4 linked regions of the Arabidopsis thaliana genome follow. The protein of the gene in region 4 interacts with the protein of the main gene of each other region in a biochemical or structural test. Each region holds a gene or a part of one and is shown on either strand. Other genes may lie near its edges.

Region 1 (5,443 bases), 8.1 Mb from region 4:
GATAATGAAGTCTGAAGAAGTTGACCAGGTACACACACGCATCGAATGTTTAAGAAGCAAAGATTCCATTTGTTTGTCTAAATATCGAAACAGTATCAGTGTATCCAATCAAACTAACGGAGATCCTAAGTTTCTTGTTTTTTCTTTTTGGAAAATCAAAATTGATACTTGGTCGAACGTAGTATTTGGCACGTCGAATCAAAATTATACAACAGTCTCAACTCTCAACGTTACTATTAACGACGTCATTATCGTATTGACGTATAGGTGCCACCATATTATACAATAAATTATTAGAGATTCAATAAGATTCATGTTCTTAGAATCGACTGATTGAACGAAAATTTTACCGGGAAAATTTTACACAGTTGAAATAAGTTCCCTATCAAATACTATTAAACATTAATTTTTGGTTTGCAACTAATCACATCCTTATACAATAAACATTTCACGAGATAAAATTTTATATAGAATAATGAACTCAAAAGATTTGATGATTTGTGAACTTTTTCTATGTTTTTTTTTGTATTATGATCTTTAACCTCTTTAATATTTACAAAGAACGAGGTGTGTCTTGTTGTTTAAGTATTAATCTTGTTCACATATAGTAAAAACCTCAAAAATAATTGGCTTCGGATTTGCATAGTGTAAAATTGTTTCACTATGTCTCTGAAAAGGGAAAAATGAGTGAAGATGGATTTTGGAAATTATTGAAAACACTACTATTAACTATAACATGTTTTGGAACTACAAAATTGTCCATGTACTGTTCGGATAAATACGAAACCAAAATTTTTGTACTATTTACGTAAAAGTCTCATCTACAAATGAATGAAGCTCACCAGCAGAGATACTCTAATCGATGTAAATTTGTTGTTATATGTATATGTAATTTTCATATAGTATATTGCTATGAGAAGACAAAAGATCGAATCATTATGATGTGGCTAGTAATATTTGTTTATATATGTGATGATACAAATTGGCGGTATCAAACAAACTCAAGACCGTTAATATAATCAAACATTTTTGTTTCCTTTCTAATAATAAAGAAAATACATGATTAATGATAAACAACAACGACACTGAATATTAAGATATCGGTAAGTACCTCAAGATCTCACTTAGAATTTGTCTCATTCTTAAATATAATTCATAGAGTCAGATCCAGAGTACTCTCCTGACCAATCTTAACCGTCCGATCCTCTTCATCTTTCATCAGTCGGCTCTTTTTCCACGAAGACGACCCTGGACATAGCGACAAGGACAACGTTTGATCCGTTGTTGTTGCTGCTGTTTCTGTCTCTTCCAAAATTGTCTTCTCCGGTTGTCTTAGCTTAAGAGATAGATCAAGATCAATGCTCCTACTTGCGTCTCTTTTGCCATTTGTCTTGCTACAATAAGAATGATTAGTGTTCTCCTCAACACCGTTATGGAACTTTTGAAAAGTTCTTGAGTGTCCTTGAATGCTGTTGAATGTGACTGAATTGGTCCGTTCGTGATGATCGTGTCGTAGTTTCGGAAAGTGATTAGAAATTGAAGAAGAGTAGATGTTTTGGAAAGACTTGTTGTTAGTCCAATAATCACTACCACGGATGTTATTGCTAACCGACGCGTTGCGGATTAAACCGGGCCTAATTTGGTCTATCAAACTCCTTTCTGTTCCTTGAGAGCTAGAGTTCCACAAAGAAGCATTTGAAATTTTACTTCCATATCTACCAAAAACAAAAGAAGACAATTAATTTAGTTTCCGAATAAATATAATTAAAACGGAATATCATTCAAATTAAGGAACACATAAAATCTAAAATTTTCAAAAAAAAAAGTTATATCAACCTGAATGGAGAATCATGGTTATGATTATAGCCTCGGAACATCGGTAGCTGACTTAGTTTATAAATATTTCGATCTGTGGAAGTCTCGAAGAGATGTTTGTGACCAGCTATAGCTGCCAACAATTCAAACCCCACTTTATTGGCCTATACATGTATAACTTGATAACTAACTAATGAACACAAATAGAAAGAATCAATACCTTGACCTTGATCATCTATCTTCTTGCTTCTGTACATCTAAAATTTTCCAATACACAATTTAGTGATTTCTTTTTTTTTCTAATTTCAGAGATTATTTGAAACGAAATCGAAAATACAACACATATATAGGTACGTTTTAGATGTATGTAGATCAAATACCTGTAGATGGCTCTTGACATGAGCAATACTAAGCCCTTTGATGTTCATCATCTGACGAACCAACTTTGGAGTTGCTCCTATACATAACCAAACATACACATTAAAAAAAAGAAAATCACATGAGGTTTTGACCAAATAGTTAACCTAAGAATAACTAAGAAATTGCTTATGCTTTTATATATATGTGGAGGAGGTGATGAAAGATGAAGTTAGTAGCTATGGACGTACTTTCTTGACCTCCAAGCCTCTCAACGGCGCGGACAAAGCGAAGATGAAGATCAGGAGTCCACCGGAGTCGAGGGACTTTAGATCTCACATAAGGCCTAACCTTAGTCTTCTTGTCGCTCTCTTCCACTGTACTATTGCTTGAAACCTTACTCTCTTCACCTTCTTCTTCTTCTTCCTCTTCCTCCTCCTCTTCTTCTCTGTTAGTCTTCCCGCCTCCCTCCATACTTGGAATCATTATTACTTCTGATGTTACAAATTCAGAAGAAATATAGAAAGAAAGTGGTAAACGATAGAGAAGTTCTAGGCTTAGCTAGATATAGGTTTTGGACGATATGGATAGATCAATCCTTTGGTTTGATATGAAAGAGATAAAAGACCAGATGAATTCTGCTTAGTTCAAAGCATGGAGATTTTGTCTGTGAACCCTAGATCAAGATACACTTCTGATTCTCTCTCTCTCTCTTCCCGGAACATGTAGACAAACCCTCACCTAAATCTTGTTGCATATGTTAAAAAGTTTTCTTTTCTGTTCACAGCTAATTGATTTCGGCCCTTTTCTACTATAGACAGCTCTATATATAAATAGTTGTATATTTTAATATGTGGATGCATATTAATATCAACCATGGAGGGAGAAAACTATTACTCCTATAAATGAGATAAATTGTTGTTTATACCCTTAACATGCCAACAAATTACAAGTAACACTTATTCTATATTATTGTTCACCAAAGGCTAAGATGAGTGTGATAGAAATTAGGCTCTATATATAGCATATTCTTAGTAGTCTTAGATTGCCTTAGTTCGTCAAACAAACATTTCGATTACAAAGATCGATATAGATAAAATTCATGTATCGGGACTAACAGTCTATGAATGAATTAGTTAGTATAAGTAAGACTATTTACAACAACAACAAAAAAAAAAAAAAAAAAAAAATTAATAATTATAAGAAAATAAGAAAGATATTAGTATAGTTGAGACGTTATTTGAGTTTAGAAGAAAACAAAAAAATGAAGAATTTTAAATTTTTTGATACCGTGATGCAGTTTCCAGGAAAAATAATTAAATACAAAATCGAATTCACAAAATTATAATATACCTCAGAGTAGTTTTGTCGGAATTAGGATCATTGATGATCGAGATCATTGTCTTTTTCTTAAGACATTTGGTTTAAAATTAATGTTAACTAAACTTTCTTTTCCTTCTGTTTTTCTTTTTGTTGCAAAATAATTTTTGATCCTCAACGATTTAAAAGATCCAGTACGTGACATGAATCAATTTATACAAAATATTAATTTATCGAAGTGAACTATACTTGATGGATTTTAAATCCTCTCATTTCTATTGATATAGCGATCAAATTAGTTAGAAAATTTATTTTTAAAATCAACCTTCTAATCTTCTGAGTACTTTTTAGTATTTAGAAAGTGATAAATCACAATACTAACTAATATATTGATTAATGGGTAGATTCATATATATTTATCTTTAAAACTTTTTGATGAGATTATGAGGTTTAGGGTTTTGCGTGGAATTGAATGCTAAAGGCAAAAAATGGAAGAGCGAGAGTGGTAGATAGACGAATAAATTACGATTACAAGGCGTGTGACTGCTCAGCTGTCTTTGATGTAGACCACATCATCACACATACCTCTTTCTTTCTTTCTTTTTCTGTTTTTTGTTCGACGAGAATCACGGGACAATGCTCCTCTCTTACCCCAAAATTATATATTATCTTTATATGTATTTTTGTAGATTCGTATGAGAGAATTAGTTTATGTGTAAAGTGGTCCTTGCTTGGTTTACGTTACACATCCGACCCCGTGAAGCGATGAATAGCGTTGTTAGTTGAGCCGTTTTTTTACATCGTTCGTTCCAAAAATATGTAATATTAACATACATAGTTATAAAATTTGACACCGTATAAATCGAAGTCCTATATGGTTTAATTTTAATTGCAAAGAAAGTCTTTTTAGACGAGTTTATGGTGATTTTTGTAATTACGATTTTAGTCATCGTAAGCCATTGAATACTACCTCTTCCGCATATTTCGACAATTAGTTTGAATATTTACCTTTACCACTTCTATTATGAAAACAATAAGATAAATACATTCTCACGTATATATGCTTATGATATAATATATTTTAGATCCAATTATGCTTTCGAAGTCCTCTTGGAATTCCAAGAAATATGAGCACTCACAAGATCAGTTCTATTAACATGTCTAACAAATTGTACTGTTTTATTTCTACGTAAATTTCAATCATAAGTTTTTGGTGCATCACGAAAACAATATACAATACTGTTTTCCAGTTGTATATATCTACTATAGATTCGGGTACATGCCATCCAATAAAACTTCGTTGCAGAATTAAATGGAGATTATGAGTTCATGAGATTAAACTATAGGCTTAAGTTCATATTTTCCAGTTAGTAAATAAAATTCTGCTAGCCAAACAAAAAAAGTTGTTCCCTACCAAAAAAAACAAAAAAAGTTGTTGAGGAGAGGAAATTGTAAGCTTTGATGAAGTAGAAAAAAGAAGAACTTTGTCATTCCCCCCACGTGTAAAGAGACTTGCCATCGATCCTTCACAAGCTTCTCGTCACCACTCCTTTCTTCTTTACACTTAATTTCCATCTTCCTTCTGCTTCTACACGTCCACATGCAATTTTGCACCGAGAATCCTAATTTGTGTCCTTCATTTTAAAGGTTTAAAAAGCATGTTTATAAAAACATGGAACTGGATGGTTTGTGAGATATGCCATCAAATTAGACAAAAGGGTCCATTAAGCCTGTGAAAAAAAAAGAAAAAAAAAACTAAGAGACGATCATAAGAGTTAGGTGTGACCTGACAAGATTCTTGTACACCCGAACCCGACTTGTGAACTGTGAAGTCAACCTCTAATTAACAGTTATTTTTTATTCCTACAAATACGGATCCAACATTATTCTCAATTAGTTGAAGTAATGTCTGTCTATTTGCACATTTTCAAACCCATAATCAAACAAAAGT
Region 2 (5,117 bases), on a different chromosome or scaffold from region 4:
TGTAAACTTTCCAGAACACAAACAGCTTAGCTTGAACAAGAAACACCAGAACCAATGAAGTAGCTAATGACACTGCAGAAGGTATCCACCATTTCTTGCAAACCGCATTACTTTTCACCACGTCAGCATCATCAGAACAAGAAGAAGAGTAGACAAGTGTGAAGAAGAACCCATGGAAGACTAGGAAGAAACAACAAAGCTGAAAGATCTCTCTTTTGATTGACTCTAGTCTTGATTCTTTAAGAAGAACACGACGACAGAACAAATCTTCTTCTCTTTGCCATAACTTCAAAAGCAACAAATGTCCTGGACTCTCTGAGATTTCAGACAACGGATGCTGCTGAATCACTTTGAGTATTCCCATTCCCGGATTTGAGACCGCAACCAACTGTTGTTGTTGTTGTCTCTCTTTATGCTCTTCATCTACTGGAATCTCCACTACATGAGAATCTTTAGTTCCGGCCATAGAGAAAAAAAAGATTGAGACTTTATGAAGAAACAGAGATCGGAATAGGAAAGCAATTAGAGAGTAAGATGAAGATTGAAGATTTGAGTTCGTTGTGTTTTTTTAGTAAGAATTCCTTTTCTTTCACAAAATTTCAGGTATTTAAATTGTTGTTCTTTAACGGCTATATGTACAACGGTCGGATTGTTTTCTTTTTACGTTATGTTGTTACTGCTGCGATAACATAGTAAGAGACCTTTTCTCACTTTAACGGCTATATTTTCTCCTCCAAAACGCATATAGCCAATATTTGGGCCTTTAATGGGCCGAATGATATGCAATGTGCTTTATAGTTTAACTAGGCCCTATGATTCCATTTTTTTTCTTTTCTTTTCTAAAGTATATGATTCCATTGTTTGCTTTTGTTCCACCACAATTTATAACAAGTGATATATTTATGAATTTTTCTATTACTAAAATAATAGAATAAAGTAACAAATAAGATTCTGTTTTTAATTACTTTCAAAACACATACGCAAGTTATTGGAAATGACATTTTTGGGATTTTGTAGACTTCAACGCAGAAGCCAACATCAAAGGTTTGTAATTTTGTATGTCTGTTATCTATTTATTATACTCAAGATGAAAATAATAAAAACTCTTTATTTACATTTCTTCATTTATTAAAATGCTTTACAAAGCAAAACTTATTAATCTCTGTAAAAACAGAAAGCACCTAATTAATCATACCCAATGTTTAACTACCAATGTGATCGAAAATGAAAATCCAAACAATGAAATCTTAAAGAAAAAGGAAAAAACTTAGAACCAAATAAAAATCAAACCATATGATTGATGAGATCATCAGCTTGTAAATCCCACAAGACATTATCCACATTAAACACATGTTGATGATGATGATGGTTCCTCATCATCGTCATTCCATCTCCTCTTCCTCCTTCAGATCCAATCTCCTCTTGATCAACCACTTCTCCCTTCAGCTTCCTTCTCTCCTCCTCCTCCGCTGCCGCGGTTTCAGCTACCGCGGTACGTATTCCTCCGTGACCCCTCCAAGCTGCAACGGCAGGAGACGCTGATCCATCATTTCTTTCTTCATTCCCAAACGAAGACGAAGAGGATCCATATGAGAATCCATTACCCATGTCCCATAACTTCATTATCCCATTCCCATGGTCCAAACCATCCATCTTTATCTTACCAGCTTCATTATCAGCAATCTCGTGAAAGTTGTTTGGGTTAGGGTTATGGTTTGAAAAGTTGATTTGGTTTAGGTCAACACGTTTCTTGGTGAGCAAGTGAAGCATCTCGTCCTTGAAACAGCCGAGGGCAGCTTCGGCTAGGTGAGAAACCTGAGGAGGATTAAGTGTAGTGGTGATCTCTGCCATTAGATGCGAGAAAGGCTTGTGGGTCACCGGATCTATTCCCATTCCTGACAACTTCTTCTTCAGCTTCGTGTTCCAATAATTTTTCACATCGTTGTCTGTCCGACCAGGAAGTTGCGCCGCAATCAACGACCACCTGAACCATATATGTCAAAAGATTATTAAATGTTTCCCAAGAAAGATGTTAACTGTTGTTTCTCATGAAAAATCCCAGACTATTCATCAGCAATACATCATCAAACTCTATTTATGAGTCGAAAACAAATTTATAGAAAATTAAAAGTTCCCAAAAGTTTAAAACCCTATACTTAGATTTGGTATTATGGTATATAGAACAAAACTTATGTCTTATTCAGTTTCTTGTGTCCCAAGAAACTTGTCAAAAAACTCATAAAAACAATTCATCAGTAAGTCAGCATCAAAATTTCAAAAACTTAGTAAAGAAACCCGATATTTATGAGTCCATCTGTAATTTATACACCTAGATTAAATCTTTTCAAGAAAATCATAAAACCGTAGTTAATTAGATCTAGTGAGTAGTGATCATACCGGTTACCAAGAACAGAGTGAAACTTGACAATGATATGTTCTTCAGCCTCCGAGAACTGGCCATGTTTCAAATCCGGACGCAGATAGTTTGTCCATCGCAGCCTACAACTCTTCCCACATCTTTGCAACCCTATTAAAGACCAAATTTTGTCGATTCATTATATTACATTACAATGATCACTTGACTAAATAAAACATTAAAAAAAATATAGAGAAAATTTAAATTACCAGCATTCTTAGGGATGAGACGCCAATTACGAGTACCATGTTGAGCAATATAAGAAGCCAATTTGTTGTCTTCTTCAGGAGTCCATTGTCCTCTCTTCACATTCTCCTTTTCACAACATGGAATCCGACCCATTTCTTCTTTCTTTCTTTCTAGTTTTTATCTCTTGATCGATTTGATTACTCTTTACTTAATTTACTAACGAGAAAAAAGAAAATTTGGTTAAGAAATGAAAAAAACTTATATATATCAAAGATTGCCCCACCCAAAGAATTAAAACTGCCAAACTTTTGATTTTTGTACTTTCTTGTAATCAAGGCTTTTAAATTGCAAAAGAAGAAAGGAAATGTATGTATATATATAATAAAATTGATTTAACAAAAATGAAAACATAGTAAAAATTAGCATCAGATGTGCATGAATTGATTAAACTCTTTAAAGAATTCAACGCTACAGAGCGTGTGATTCCCTTAAGCCGGTAGGTCACCCACTCAACGCCTGGTCAACTCCTTTTACATTCAGATTATTCACCCATAAAATTATATTCTTCATATATTTACACTTAGATTATATAATTCTTCTGATATTCTCTATGCAAACTCCAACTTTTAAACATTTTGGGGATTGGTAGAACGACTTGGATAACAAACTAGCCTTTGGATTATGAAGTGAAATTGTACTCTTTTTTAATATAATTTGTGATCATATTGAAGTTATGACACGATTTTTTTTAAAAAGTTATGACAACTTTTTTTTCATTTTGTAAGGGAATGTATTCGTGAAGTACCGACAAGTACGGAGAATATTGCGAAAGCGTTCGTGTGCATTAGTGAGACTATGAGAGCATTCGTGAAAAGCACAGAATCTTGTAGAAGTACCTTTTTCGCGTACGAACTTGTACCTTTTGTTCTAAATCACGAAGGACCCTACTTGTGTCATCTTTTGTTGTAAACAAGTAGTGGTAAATCCACATTATTACAAACTTGAATATCGATCAAAATGTAAATATATAGTAATATTTATGGAATAGATATAGTAGTATACTTTTGAATTTGAAAATTAGATGAGAGACACTTATAAAATTCTTAGACTTCTAATTCAAAATCAATTGATAATTAATACATTATACTTTACAGACATATATGTATTTATCTTGTTAACATTGGAAAATTAGTTTCAGTTTCTCTGTAATAGTTATCTAAGGCTTTTTATTTTTTTTTGGCCATAGAAGCTCCTTGCCCCCAGCTTTGTAAATAACCTCTTTCCTTTTGGTAATATAATTCACATTTTATCAAAAAAAAAAAAAAAAAATTGGAAAACTATGTTTTCGATAATATGGATAATAATCCGGATAATGTGGATTTGGATAATTCAAACAATTCAGATAGACATGGTGATTGTACTTCGGATAATCCATCCCCCACAACTTGTGATTAATTTTATCTTTGAAAATTATTATATCAATTAAACTTAACAATCTGTTTTGACCTAAAGAAACTTACAATTTATTTATTCTATTATTTTTGGTTTTCATCTGTTTGCTATTTGTCTTGACTTGGGAAAAAACACAACTTGAAAAAAATGATATAGCATTACTAGATTTTCTTTGGATAGATATTACAAATTTTCACTCTCGAAAAAATCTACTTAATTTTGTTTTCTTATCATAGCCATGTCTCTGTTTTTTTTTGTTTCTTTATTCACCATCTTCTTGAAATTCCCATGAATCATGAGACTTTTTCCAAGTTTGAACTAAGAAGAAGAGTAATCCCGAGAAGAAGGAGAAGAAGTTGAATAACTATCCTCTGATTTGTCTCGCAAGTAACGACTCCGACCGTAACCTAATTCTCTCACCACCGACTCAACCATCCTCCCAGCCAGTCCGGTTTCAATACCAATCTCTCGGCCACAACATACCAAAGCGGCTATTCCCATCATCCACATGGCTGCAGCTACCCCAACACCAACCATAGCCGACACAAGAACCGCTACCGTTACCATAAAAGCTGGAGCAAATATCAGCAGCAATGGAGAAGCGATCAGAAACAGAGTCACCGTCGCCACAAAGCTGAAACTCATCAGACCAAAAAGCGGTCCTACCACTGCAACAGCTGCTACGGTTGCAGCCACAACCGAAGAACCGGTCGTTCTTTCTCCATCGGTTATGGCTATGTCTCTTCTTCTCCTTCCTCCAGGATTCTCCATAGTAGTAGTGTGAAGTTGAACAAAGAATTTTGTACCATGGCTATATAGAAAGGAAGATGGTAGGCTACTGACACGTGGATACCGATAAGCTACAGTATTACGACACGTGGATAGTCTTGTATATCCAAAACGCCAAAAAACTGTCTCGAAACATTATCCACAACCACAAGGCTTACGGATTTGAACCGGACTGAATTAACCGAATCGTATCTAAACTAAAACCGAACTAAAATTTACCACTGAACCAAATTGGTATAAGAAATTATTGACTCTAAAACTAGAATTATCC
Region 3 (7,477 bases), on a different chromosome or scaffold from region 4:
CTTATGTAATGGAGAAGATGAAAAAAGGTGAAACCTACTTGGCAATGACTATGTATTGTTCACGTTTGTTTGCGTTTAAGACCCAGAGAGTCGCTTGTACTGTTGCACTTGTGACATTGTTGCCAAATATTCGAACTACCGCTGTTACTTCATACACACGCTTCCTCCTGAATCTTCCTGAAATCTCTTGTTGAATCCCATTCCATGTGTCTTTACGCTGCGTTGCTGCTGCGAAAACTTTTCCCGAGAGCGGTACGATCTTCCCACTGTCCATGGATTCGTGTAAGACAATCTTGCACGCTCTTCCAGTCCAGTTGTTTAGGCCATCCTCAAAATTAGGGTTTAAGATGATCTTCTCCTGCTCTTCGTTAGTGTGATTCTGCCAGACGTAAATACAAAATAACTCTAGTTAGCTAGCTTGTAGAAACATTAGCGCACTATTGTTAAGAAGAAGCTTAAATATCGACAACCTTATCATTATTATCATCACTTGTATGGTTCGTATTTGTATTCTTCTCCATAGCAAGTTCCAAGCGAAGAAGATTAAGTACACACAAAAAGAAGATAATTGTTAAAAAGCTTTTGAGGTTTTAGTTTTTTTGGTTGGGTTGAGGAACTTGCTCTGATATATATATATATATAATATATGCTTCTATGTCAAAGACAGAACATAGAGAGTTTCAAGTGAACTCCAAGACAAGCAAGAGCTAGACACAATACTTTGAAAAAAATAACATTATTGATTTTGTGATTTGAAGAAGAAAAAGAGAAACTACAATTGCTTTGTCTTAAACCCAGGAAAGTGTAGTTTGCTTGAATTAAAATAGAAGGCTTCAATTGTTGTCATAGACAACCATGTGAAAGAACGAAAGAATTCAAAGCTGAAGCTCAGGTTTCGTTTTCCTACTTGTGTTTATTAAACCTTACAATGCAAGTAAACCTATTTTTTAAGGTTTCAAAATGGTTTCTATCCTCAGAAGGTTCACATTGATCTAACCAAATTGTTGTACTAGATAAGGTTTAAAAGCTACTTTATATAAAAGAGTCAATAATCAACAATTTGTGATGTAAATTTTGTAAGATTACTCATAAAAGAGTGCATCCAAAACTGATCCAAACTATAAACTCCAAGTTTCAAACAAACTAACAAGGACATGATCAAAAGATAAGAGCAGATTAAAACCAAAAGAAATGACATTTATGGTCAAAATAGTACAAAGCCAACCAAATCAAAAGATAGAAGCAGTCACAAAGTGAAGCCATGCCCATATGAGTAGTGTGTGACATAAGGTCTATTCACTTTTTGATATGGTGACATTGTAGTGAGATTCAGACAATTCTCTATCCTTAAATCTCTAAAGGTCCCAAGGATTTTCTTTTAAATGCAATCTTCCATTGTTCTTTTGTACAGCACAATGAAGCTAAAGAACAACATCGAGGGAAATCGGTGCTTTGTCCTGTACAGAAATAAATTGCATAGACTACTAATCTTCTTTTTTTCTTTGGGGAGGAACAATGGTCTCTCCGTTGAGTTTAGTATTGATCTGCCAAAGCTCGTTTCTTACATTGGCTTTGTACCACACTCAGTAAGAAATCAGTGAATACATGCTCATACTCTGGCATTTTCCCGTACCCTGCGCAAGTTCTTTTGTTCTTAAACCACATGTTTGTGATAGTCTATTGCAAAAAATGTGTGGAAATCAAACTTGCCTGGGAAATAGTTGATGTCGATCACATAAAACCGATCTCTTGTCCCGTGCTCTCTAATTATGTCTAAATTGAACAGCCTTAGACCCTGCAACAAATTAGAGATCAGTAGAGTTTGATATAATACTCCTGCTTGGATATATAGTAGAGAGGACTGAAACATACCAATCCACGACGGAGTTCCTTTGCCAGTCTCTCCAACAGAGGACGTGGTGGAAGCTCTGCAACGAGAATGAGGATATTGTTAGGTCCTCATCAAAGGAAAAATGCAGACGATTTTTACTGATGATGAAGAGGATTTTACCGGCAATGCTCGGGTCCAGATCTGCATCATCAGCTGAAGCTGCAGCACAAGAGACCCGTGGGAAGCGGAATACACCAGCTGATTTGGGGAGTTCTCGTCTAGAGACATCAGGTAGGGAGAAGCGCCGGACAACTCTAATAGCCTCCCCAACAATGTAAACCTTGAAAAGAACACCTCCTGCGAAAGCCAAGCATTTAGATAGGTAATCAAATTATCTAAGTTCTAGTACAGGCAATGATAACCACTAAAATCTCATACCATGGTTAACAAACTCCTGAAGAACAAGAGGAGGCTCGAGCTTCAGAAGGGAGTGTTGATCGTAAGCCAGCGAAAGCTCATGTGACTTTGCACTTCCATCAGCAACCAATGGCTTTGCAACTACGATTTTAAACATCAAATTAAATAATTTACTTATAGATCCATTAATAATGCACAACTAAAACTTCAGCCACCCACCAATTGAACAAACACAGGCCATGGTGGCTTTTGTGATAGACAACAAGATGCCACATGAAGCTAAACGAAAGTCATTAACAGAACATAAGGAGGGAATCATACCAAGAGGTAGTCTCAGACCAGCATTATTGACAGCCTCCGGAATTGAAGATGCATCCTTTTTAATTACCAATTGCTTGGGCACACCAACGCGTCCTGCACAATCAGAGCAACTTCTACTACTCAGATACACAGAACTCTACTAATAAAATCTTTAACCTTAGCGTCCCTAACAGCAAATAGCAAGTGATTACACATGAATATTTACCATTACTATCAGACAGATTCATGTCCGCAACACACTGAAGCATTGACTGACGATTACGGAGATGTAGTATTGCATCTGGAGGATCAAGAACTGTGACATCTGGATGTGCTAGCCTAAATTCCTGAAATTATTAGAAACAGTTATGCTCACACATAGTCTACTTTTCAACACCCAAAAGTGCATCCCTGCTAATGGTCATAAACAGAAAACTTCTATCTCTGTATTGCTGAGATCTCCTGAGATATTGATCTACATTGATATTATTATTAACACAGCGACAGTGTCAGTCTAAAAACTGTATCCCCAACGTTGAACTCTTCACTATCCTGCAACTAAGATTAAGAATTAAACTAATCTACTGATGAAACTTGCACTTTGCAACTAAAGTTTCATTGTAGACACTTTTCTATATCATCAGTATATACTATCTGAAGAGTATAAATCTAGCATTCAACTATACTCAGAAGTTGGCATTCTAATGATTCATAGTCTGATCTCCTGAGATCTGAATAGCTCTAGGATCTAAACACACAGAAACGCCGATTACTTTCTACACCAAACAGCATACTTTCATTTCTATTCTTCTAGCAATTATGAGATGTGAAATGTCTTGTTCCCCAACGAGAAATCAGATGATGGCTCTTATATATGTAGACAAGAGAGCATTACATTCTACTTAAAGATGAAATGATTTTGCATTCAACTATTACCAGGAACATGTAAACCCAATATTCAAAAAACATTACTAGTATCTAACTCTAGAAAACCTGAAGAGGTTACAGTTCTATGCCTCTGGAAGTAGAAATATTCTCACTTGCAGTAGTCTCAACCTCAATTTGTATCAACTAATGACTCACGACAAGGAAAGAGTAAAAGCTCTGGAAAAAAATTTCCATTGAGAAACAAGATTTAGAAATTAAAAGGAACTAGTTGCTAACTTGTGCAATTTACCACCATCTCTCATCTAACAAAGGCTTATATAACATAACTACATCAACATGGTACTCATCACCACAGAATGACAGACATACATGATCTAATAATCTTAGGCTATAGAATGTGCCACAGCAAATACAAAAACGGAAACAATCGTAAGACTAACCTCGAGAATTCGACGCCATTCTTTTCCAATTTGCTGCCAGTACATGTAAAAACAAACACCAAATAAGAATAATCAGGCATCAATGAAAAGAAGCTAAGCAAGAAGACGCAAAACAAGGTTAGTTTCTAACAACCTGAGCAGGGGATGTTCCCAAGACATATCTTCTGACAAACCATAGGCAAAAATAAGATGAATGTATCAGAAAACCAACAGGGTTAACAAAGATCCAATAAAACTAACCTTATGCAACACAATATCAAACGGACCCTGCTCTGAAAGTGGCTTATTCTGATCTATTGCCACAAATAATATCCCCTTATTCCTGCACAAAACACATAACTACAGTAACTAAACTTTATAGTAACACCATTTCATCAATAGAAGGTCAAAGATTCCAAAAGAAAAATCAAACAATTAAATAGTGAAGAGAATATTCTTATGAAAATTAATTTTAAAAAATTGAGAATTTGTTCATTAACAATATGCATGAAAGCAAATGATATCAAAGCGGACTATTTGACACACAAAAAATTCGTGCGGAACCGCTACATATCACTTTTGTAAACAATTTTCCTCTAAATTGGCTCATTTGAGTCCTAAATAATATCAAAGCCGACTATTTGACACAAAAAATTCGTGCCGAACAGGTACATATCACTTTTGTAAACAGTTTTCCTCAAAATTGGCTCGATTAAGTCCTAAATAATATCTGATAGCACAAACAATAAAATTAGGGTTAAAAATCAGAATCACAAACCTAGCTAAACCTTCGAGTTTTGGTTGTAAAAAGCTCTTAATCTTCTTTGATGTAAGAGCGTAACCTACAATAATGGATTTCTTCACCGGAAAAGCTTCGATTACTAACGAACACGGCGACGATGTCTCTTGCTCTGTCGTCTCCATTTCTCGAGTTCCGTTCATGGTGATCTCTTCGTTGTCCGTTAGCTTCATCTTGTGGAAAAATCAACGAAACAATTTTGGGGATTATGGAAGTGGAGAATGCGAGATCGGAGGAAGAAATTTTCTGGGTTTGATGCGTTCACAACGGAGTAAAATTTGGGATTGGTTTTACCGGGTCGGGTTTAGATCCGAATTGTTTTAGTCGGTGCTTGTGATATTTTGGGTGGGTTATGAGAGAGTAGGGAGAGGTCTGAAATATTTATAGCGGCGTGAGGGACATGTGTACACATGTATGTGTCTAACGGTTGTTTTTTTTTTTTTTTTGGTAAAGAAACATGTTTTAATTATGAGAAATGTATATTGCAATTTGAACATATTCTTGGAACTGCACTGTTTTATTTTTGTCTGAGCCAAGCCGATATATAGCTAGTTGTGATTTGTTGTTGTTTAAGAACGTGAATGATCTAGGTTGGAATTTTTTAAAATGTTAGATAGATCGATCTGGTTTGAGTTTGGAGAGTTTATTGTTGGTCGGGATTTGAAATCAATGTATTGACAAGTTTGAGAGACGATTAAATTTTTTAGATATAATTCGCAAAATGAATGTTTTAGGAGAAAATCATGTAGCTAATTTTCTTTCAAATAATATAGTTAGCAAAAAAACAAATTAATATTTTTGTATAATTTTATTAGGTAAAATAATTTTTTATCAATTTATCAAAACTCAACAACTATTTATATGACCAAAACGGTTGTATAAATGATATTAGTGAATGTTTGTGAATAAAACTTAGGTAGAATTTCATTAAAAAGAATATATATTCTATGTATAAAAAGACTTAATAAATTATTTTATTTCAAAAAAGCAGATCTCACATACTTTTAAATTTTAAAATTGGTAACTTTCTTCAAAATTCCTCTTAAAATAGTACGTCTTTCCCTTTATAAACGGCTAAGTTACTACATCACTTTAACTTTGAGCTTTTTGGTCCTCCGAATACGTCCTCACATTCTTAGTGACTTAACTAGAACTCATCTTCCCAACTCATCTTCCCATGCTTTCGAGAAAACTTTGTTTTGGCTTTTTGAGAATTGATGATCTTACCATTTCTTCAAAGAGTCCTATAAGATTCTCAACAAAAAGCCATACTACTTCAACCATTGGTTCTTTGATTTGGAGAGATGCATGTTGTAGATGTGTTTCTTAATACCATGATATCTTGGATTCACATAGAAGTCATCCCCTCCCAACTCTAGATGGAAGAGATCTTTTGCAACTTTGGAAACTCTTGTCACAAACTACTTTCGAGTATTCGAGCAGTTAATGCTCCGGTTTCAAGAATCTAAATTACAATTTGAGTAGATGCATTATCCCTTAAGGTTTAGGAAGAATACACAAATCTCAACTAGTGAGACTGTGTGGATCTCTTTAACGTATTAGAAACTCTACTTATGATGTTCTAAATGGCATAATATTTTTCATGAAGATGATTCTTGCTCCTTCAAGTGAGAGTCTCATAGTGAAGGTCGCATTACTAGAAAGTCCCTATTGTGCACCGCAAGGATTTGTTCACGAAGTTATAGATTAGCTGGACTATTACTCTTTCCCGATTTACAATGATACCCATATACGTACACATTCCTCGTGTTAGAGACCATATCTTGCCCCATCACCACCCGAGCCAATCATCCCTTCTAGAGATTATCGATCTTAAAACGCAGATGGTAAACTGCCTCTAAATATTGGGGAAGCGTAGAGACGAATGAATTTTAAACCTCATACTTTTTTGTCTTCATTCTCGAACGAAATAACATTAGATCCCTAATAGTGCTTGAGATGGTGTTAGGGATTATTCGGATGAAGATTAGGAGAGAAAATCATCATGATGAAACATAGCTCTCTCATTGGGAGACTTCTCCACACCCTCAAAAGAGTAAAAGTTTGATACCATTAAAGCTTGTGAAACGAACATTAACAACCATAATGAAAAAAGCAGATAAAATATTTTAATTTTCATTGAAAATTTTGAAAAATATGAAAATAATTCAATCGAGTACTATGCATATTTTTAATAATCAAGAGAATCAGCTAAGATATAAAGCATTAATCAAATGTAATCTCATCTAATAAATTATCGAATCAATGGTTTAATTAAAGATTTTCGAAAATAAATCAAATCTAAATGATTACAATCTCTCCTTAAGATCACATTTGAATAGTGTTTCATATTAAATCAATCAACAAACGATGTATAGAAAACTAGTTATTGTTCTTAAAATTAATTACATTCCTTAAAGTGACGTGCAAAATTTCCTTATTCTAAAACTGAAATTAATGATTTGCTTAATTTAACGAGAATATTATTATTAAATACTTTTAATATATTTCATTACAAAAAAAAAAAAAAAACTTAGTGCCCATATTCGATTCTCGCCACGTCAGCAAACAACACCTCAACAACGGCACCGATTTTTCTGTCCTCTTCGTTCAAGTCATTCCAATATTAATAAAAAAACGAAATTAGTAAATTAAAATTTTTAAACGAAAAAAAAAAAAACTTTGGCCTCTCCGGTGACTCTTCCTTCTTCTGCTACCGAACTTTTCGCTTCCTTCTCTGACCAATTTTTTTCAACAACCTCTCTTCTTCAACAAATTCTCTTCTCAAATCCTCCAAATCCTCTCTGCCATGAACGCTACTTT
Region 4 (5,793 bases):
CATTGTACTATATACGTTTTAAAACGAATTGTTTGTTTTGATTAAGGATGTTAAGTGATTTAATCATTATTTTAGATTAAAACCCTTGGGTTCCCTATATATTATCTTAGGGTTTAGTATCCTTCCATCAAAAAATATTTAATTGATTATTTGGATTCATCGGAATCAAAGTTTTGGTTTGAACAAATATATACTCCCTCTGTTCCTTTTTGTTTGATTTTTTAGAAAAAACACAAATATTAATAAAACATATTAAATGTTGCTTTTAAATGTATTGTTCTTTGGGATTTACAATTTTCAATAACTCTAAACCAATTATATTCAATAATTTGTATTGAAGTTTACAATTTCTCAATTATAACTAATAACTATTGCATTGAAAACCTAAAAAATCAATCTTTTAGAAACAATTTTTTTTTCTAAAAAATCAAACAAAAAGGAACATAGGGAGTACTATTCTATTTTTCTATGATGATATGTATAGAATTTGGTATCACTATTCATTTTTTAAGAAATTCGTATCCGATTTTTAAAATTCAAATCATATTAGATACACAAAAAAAATCTGTTTTTTTAATAGTATTATTAATTTAACCAATTAATATTGTTAACATAATATAGTAAACAATATTAAAAAGGGTGAACATATTTTAATCATATTTCTCTTTTCTCTTCTCAACATAACTTAAACTTTTATTGTTCCTTAAAAGACCACGTCAGCATAATTCACTACACTTCTGTTTTCTTCACGCGCCTTAAACATGAATGAAAGAGTTGGGTGAAGGAGTGTGTGGTGAAAGAGTGTGTTGTCATTACACACACCTCATGTGTTACTCTCTGAATTCGGCAACTTATGGTGCTAGATATTTAATTTCTTTTCAGGAATTGGTTATTTAGCTAATTCACCTTTGAAATAAATACACTTATAAAATAAAGTATTTTTAAAACACACTAGTCTTCATATTGGAACTGAAAAAAATAGCACACTTCCTTAGATCATTATTTATAAGATTACTAATATATTCTGAAATTGTTTTGGTAGTACTAAAAAGAACGAAAAATATGAAGTGACACATTATCCAATCTTCCCTTATAATGAATTGAAAACATGTTTGGCGGCTTTTTAAAGGTAGGATAAAAACTAGAGAAAATAACATCTATACTTTTATTAGTTTATACTTTATAGTATGAGAGTATCTAAACTATAAAAAATTATTTCGTGTGGCTAGCAAGTGGGCAATGGCAAAGCTATACAAAATACAAGAGTTGGCCTGAAAATCAGTAGTAAAACTCATCAACTCAAAGATAATGTAACAAAAACAAGCCTTAACTTACTTAGTAACAAACAGTCACATTTACAAAGTGGTAAAGATACTGAGAGCCACTTTTCAAACTCTGTTACTACTACTCACTCACTGCAACTAAATCAAACCAGACGAGATCAAAGCACCGGGCTTTTTATCGATCTGTTCCCGCGTTTGTGGACTCGCTATATATAACATAACATCAAAGCTGCATTTTAGAAAGCAAAAAAAAAAAAAACTGGAAAAAGCTTACTCTTAATGATCATTGATGTTGATTTAGGCATTTGAGATTTCAGCTTCAGGGTGGTAATAAAGCATCTCATTCCACATCATCTCTCTTATCACTGGTTCCTCCATGTTTTCATCTATGTCCAGAGAGATTGGGACATGTGCAGGCGGATTGGATCCAGGATCAAACAACCCCGCCATATACGGGTGTAAGAGCGCATCGGTTACAGAGATTCTCTTGGTTGGATCAAACACAAGCATCCTCTGTAACAAATCTATAGCTAGAGGATTGGCTTGTGGATAAAGATTGGAGAGATGAGTTCCTCTTGAGTACGGAAGAGACTTTATAAACCTTCGAGCTTTCGGGTTGTCTATGAACCGAATATCAGATTCTTGTTGGCTACCAACAACGTTGATGATTAGCTTAAGCTGATTCAAGCATTCTGTTCCTGGAAAAATCGGTTTCCTACCAAGAATCTCCGCGAATATGCAACCAACCGACCATACATCAATGGAGGTTCCATAGTTATCACAACAAAGAAGAAGCTCAGGTGCTCTGTACCAACGTGTAACCACATACTCAGTCATGAACTGTTCATTACCTTGGCTCGTTCTCGCCAACCCGAAATCACAAATCTTGAGATCGCAGTTCGCATTAACTAAGAGGTTCCCGGGCTTCAAATCCCGGTGAAGTATGTTTGCAGAATGAAGATACTTCAACCCTCTAAGCAACTAAACACAACAACAAGAACAAGACTTATTTCAATAACTAAACATACAAAACTCGAAACATAGAGTTACCGAGGAAGGACTTAAAGTTACCTGAAACAAGAAGTACTTGCAGTGATCATCAGAAAGAGACTGAGAGGATTTAATAATCTGATGAAGATCAGTATCCATTAGCTCATAAACCAAATAAACATCCTTGAAACTGGATCTATTAGCAGGCAACATAACATCTTTAAGCGCGATCACATTCTCATGCCTCACATGCCTAAGAAGTTTAAGTTCCCTCAACGTTCTCAAAGCATCAACACGATTCTCAAACACATTGTGAATCTTTTTAATAGCAACTCTCTCATTAGTCTCACGATTGATAGAAGAACAAACCACACCATAAGCTCCTCTTCCAATGGGTTTAATCGGAACATACTTTGTATCGATTTCGAACAATGTTTGCCACATGGAGTAGTAATGTTTCCCTTGTTGCTTAATCCCATTTGGTGGCTCAACTAACATCGCCATTTTCTCTCTGCAAAAACCAAAACTTTCAGTATTTTTCCCCTAAATTGGTAAGATTTTGGAAAAGGGTTTATAGAGAATTTTCGATTTATGAATCATTGAAGCTTTTTTCTCCTTTACGTCTCCAAAAAGTGAAATTCAACTAAGAAAAATTCTCTTTTTAATATCGTTTCCTTTACTTAGCTATCAATCTTACTACTCCATAAGAAAAAAGCAAACTTTGGTTATAAAAATTCTCTTTTTAATATGATAACTCTTGATTAATCATAATCAAAACTCAAAAATTAAGAGTTAAAACAAGCTAAATGAATAAAGAGAAGAAACAGAACAAGAGATCGAACATACCCAATAACTGAATTTACAGAACCCGAGTCGTTGTTGTTGTTGTTAATGATCAGAGATGAAAGAAGAGAAGGGTATGATTGGATCTGAATTGAGATTGCTTCTTCATAGCTAAAACAAGAAGAGATAAGAGAGAGAAGAGTTAGGAAGTGGTGAGACCCATACGGGGAATGGAATGTTAGGGGAAGAGGAAGAAGAAGAAGAAGAAAGGAAGCAAAATACGTTGGTTGATGAAGAAGCTTTGGTTACTTCTTTTCGTTTTTTAGGAAAAAAACAAATTACAAAGTCTTCTAATTACGAAAACGACATTCTTTTTAGATTAGATATTTTTTGTGTAACAAAACTTCAGTTACAAACTATCTTTAATTAAAAAATCTCTAAAGTTTAATGGACTCTTCATGTTTTTTTTTTGCATACAAATCAGGATTGTTATTACTATATTTGGTAATTAGAAAAAAATAATGCATAGGAATTTTTGTAATTAATTAAAAAGATTGAGTAAGATATTTATTAAGTAGAATTTGTCTTGGTATAATATACGTACACGAATACAGAAATTGAGGATTTAAATGGATCAAGTAACCGGCTAAGCACGTGGGTGGACTGAAAAAGTGACACGTGGTAAACGTAGATTGGGAGCAACTTCTTGTTGTTGTCCGAACCGAAGTTTCCACTGGGTGTAGTTAAACCTAACTTAAAAGCCTCAAAAAGTGGTCAACTACAAAACCACTCTTGGTTTGAAGACCTTCTGTCTCTTTCGGAGAGGTTTGAGGATTAGATTAAAAAAAGGATAAGTGTGGCTGATGGATTTAACATCAGATGATGACATAACTAATTTGAGTGGCAAATGGTTGAGTAAACCTATCAGTTGACGAACGCAGATTATCAATCAACTTTGAGTTTCTCCATAGATCTTCGAAGATTCTGTCTCTCCAAACCATCAAGCCCCAATTCATCTTCAACCCTAGTAATTTAGTTTATATAAAGTGTACTTGAATTTTATACGTTGATGTTAAAAATGTTTGCACACTAATCTTTTGTACAAAACTACTTTACAAAATATATTTCTTATAAATTCATTGTTTTCTTTTGTACAAATCAAACATGATCTCGCATATGATGCGGATAAGTGGTAACATCTAAGGATGATATATATATACAGAGACATAACAAAATTCTTTCTTTGGAGATTCTCTTAATTTTAATGTGACTGTAAGATTTAAGTTAATGACATGAGTGCATTGGCCACCTCTAACTCCACTAGAGGCTTCTTCTTCCTCATGTTCCTCACTTACCAAGTGAACTGCACATGGAGATAAAAAGTAAAACAGAACACCATTTTAAACACCAAAACAAAAATTAGTTAAGTAGGCATTGATTTGAAAGCGGACCAGCTTCTTCTTCTTCTTCTTTCTCTCAACGTATGCCACAAGGTCCTCTTGTCGGGTAAGAGAATCATCAAGAGCCTGTGAAGATACAACAACTCTTTAGTGTGAGATAGTGAAAGCTGAGAACAAATCAGTAATATATATGAAAGTTTTTTTTGTTTTGTGTTACCTTCTTGGTTGCAGCAAGTTCTTGTTCCAAGAAATCGGCTCGGCTAATGGCAGCATTAAGCATCTCTTCCTTTTCAGGAGGCATAGTTGCTGGCTGTGCACTCAAGTTTGTGACTTTCTGCTCAAGCTCAGCCATTCGTTTCATGACCGCCATGAAATCTTCCCCTGAGATGGTTGTTGTTGCCATTTTCTTCCCATGCATCGAGCTCTTGTTCATCGAGTTTTCGTCGCAGTAAACCGGGCTAGAGTATATAGTTGACTCGGTTAGCTTCCTTGGAACGTTTTTAGTCACTCTAATCATGGTGACTACACCCATTACAAAAGCCATGACTCCAGTGAAAATAGGAGACCTTCCACTTTCATTTGTAGCTTTGCAAGCTTCTTGAATGGCGTAAACATCCCCTGTTCAAAAACAGAGAAGTACTTAAATTCAAGTTCTTTTAAAAAGGAGTAGTATTTGTCTCTTTAGTAGTGTAATTTGCACATGATCTCTTATACTTTTTGAGAGGGAAAATTTGTGAGCTTCTGGTATGTTCCAAGCTGGATGAGCAACCACGACCTGAGATGTGGGAAGAAATATAAGGAGAATACAAGCCTCATGAAGGAAAATAGTGTCATTCTTACATTTTGACAAGGAGAGGGCTGTGACTGGTCAGTTTCAGGAGCTTCCTCAACTGCAGAGTTATTCCCCTGAGAGATAATATTCTCTCCAGCATTATCAGCTTGAGATCTCTTTGAGCATATGTGGTCACCATTATTAACTCTCTGTTAGGTTTACGGTGACAATCATCTTAGTTTTCATATAGAAAGAAAGAAACTAACTATGAGTGTTGTTGTTGCTTTACTAGATCAAAGAAGTTGTAGAAAACAAACCTTCATAATATCTGGATTGTTCCATGGTCCTTTGTCCGAGCGCATGCAACCCCCATTGTCAGCACAAGTACAAGAACCTCCCAAGAACTCAGGCAGCTCACTGATACAAAGAAAAATGAGAAGTCTGTCATTCGAGAAATACTAATCTTTTGAGTGTTCATGCAGAAACTTTTTGCAGAGCTCACCTAGCATCAATTATTTCAAGCAACTTGCTTTGGTACTTGTTGCCAAGAACCTGAATATCAAAT

What was found.
Region 1: of the proteins of MPK7 (region 4) and AT2G38300, one has a biochemical effect on the other in vitro, tested with the Arabidopsis thaliana proteins (one large-scale study listed by BioGRID).
Region 2: of the proteins of MPK7 (region 4) and MYB80, one has a biochemical effect on the other in vitro, tested with the Arabidopsis thaliana proteins (one large-scale study listed by BioGRID).
Region 3: of the proteins of MPK7 (region 4) and AT4G08170, one has a biochemical effect on the other in vitro, tested with the Arabidopsis thaliana proteins (one large-scale study listed by BioGRID).

What each region holds. Positions count from the first base shown.
Region 1 is NC_003071.7:16,043,022-16,048,464, forward strand, and holds AT2G38300 (myb-like HTH transcriptional regulator family protein), read right to left. Parts: upstream 2,995-5,443; 5' UTR 2,659-2,994; coding exon 2,424-2,658; intron 2,273-2,423; coding exon 2,196-2,272; intron 2,073-2,195; coding exon 2,036-2,072; intron 1,949-2,035; coding exon 1,837-1,948; intron 1,716-1,836; coding exon 1,154-1,715; 3' UTR 927-1,153; downstream 1-926.
Region 2 is NC_003076.8:22,716,832-22,721,948, reverse strand, and holds MYB80 (myb domain protein 103), read right to left. Parts: upstream 2,759-5,117; coding exon 2,626-2,758; intron 2,528-2,625; coding exon 2,398-2,527; intron 1,985-2,397; coding exon 1,285-1,984; downstream 1-1,284. Other genes in the region: AT5G56120 (RNA polymerase II elongation factor), read right to left, coding at 1-466; AT5G56100 (glycine-rich protein / oleosin), read right to left, coding at 4,376-4,828. UniProt on the Arabidopsis thaliana protein: Transcription factor that binds to the DNA sequence 5'-CCAACC-3'. Regulates directly PME5, UND and GLOX1. Essential for tapetum development in anthers and microsporogenesis.
Region 3 is NC_003075.7:5,162,174-5,169,650, forward strand, and holds AT4G08170 (Inositol 1,3,4-trisphosphate 5/6-kinase family protein), read right to left. Parts: upstream 5,020-7,477; 5' UTR 4,828-5,019; coding exon 4,634-4,827; intron 4,199-4,633; coding exon 4,117-4,198; exon of another isoform or gene 3,922-4,116; coding exon of another isoform or gene 3,910-3,921; coding exon 3,877-3,909; exon of another isoform or gene 2,896-3,876; coding exon 2,775-2,895; intron 2,663-2,774; coding exon 2,570-2,662; intron 2,390-2,569; coding exon 2,270-2,389; intron 2,189-2,269; coding exon 2,012-2,188; intron 1,929-2,011; coding exon 1,873-1,928; intron 1,796-1,872; coding exon 1,711-1,795; intron 1,635-1,710; coding exon 1,534-1,634; 3' UTR 1,047-1,533; downstream 1-1,046. Other genes in the region: AT4G08160 (glycosyl hydrolase family 10 protein / carbohydrate-binding domain-containing protein), read right to left, coding at 39-379, 471-521. UniProt on the Arabidopsis thaliana protein: Kinase that can phosphorylate various inositol polyphosphate such as Ins(3,4,5,6)P4 or Ins(1,3,4)P3. Phosphorylates Ins(3,4,5,6)P4 to form InsP5.
Region 4 is NC_003071.7:7,906,598-7,912,390, forward strand, and holds MPK7 (MAP kinase 7), read right to left. Parts: upstream 3,444-5,793; 5' UTR 3,120-3,443; intron 2,785-3,119; 5' UTR 2,778-2,784; coding exon 2,355-2,777; intron 2,265-2,354; coding exon 1,581-2,264; 3' UTR 1,177-1,580; downstream 1-1,176. Other genes in the region: AT2G18180 (Sec14p-like phosphatidylinositol transfer family protein), read right to left, coding at 4,457-4,582, 4,674-5,074, 5,171-5,231, 5,297-5,437, 5,546-5,645, 5,731-5,780. UniProt on the Arabidopsis thaliana protein: MKK3-MPK7 module acts as a positive regulator of PR1 gene expression.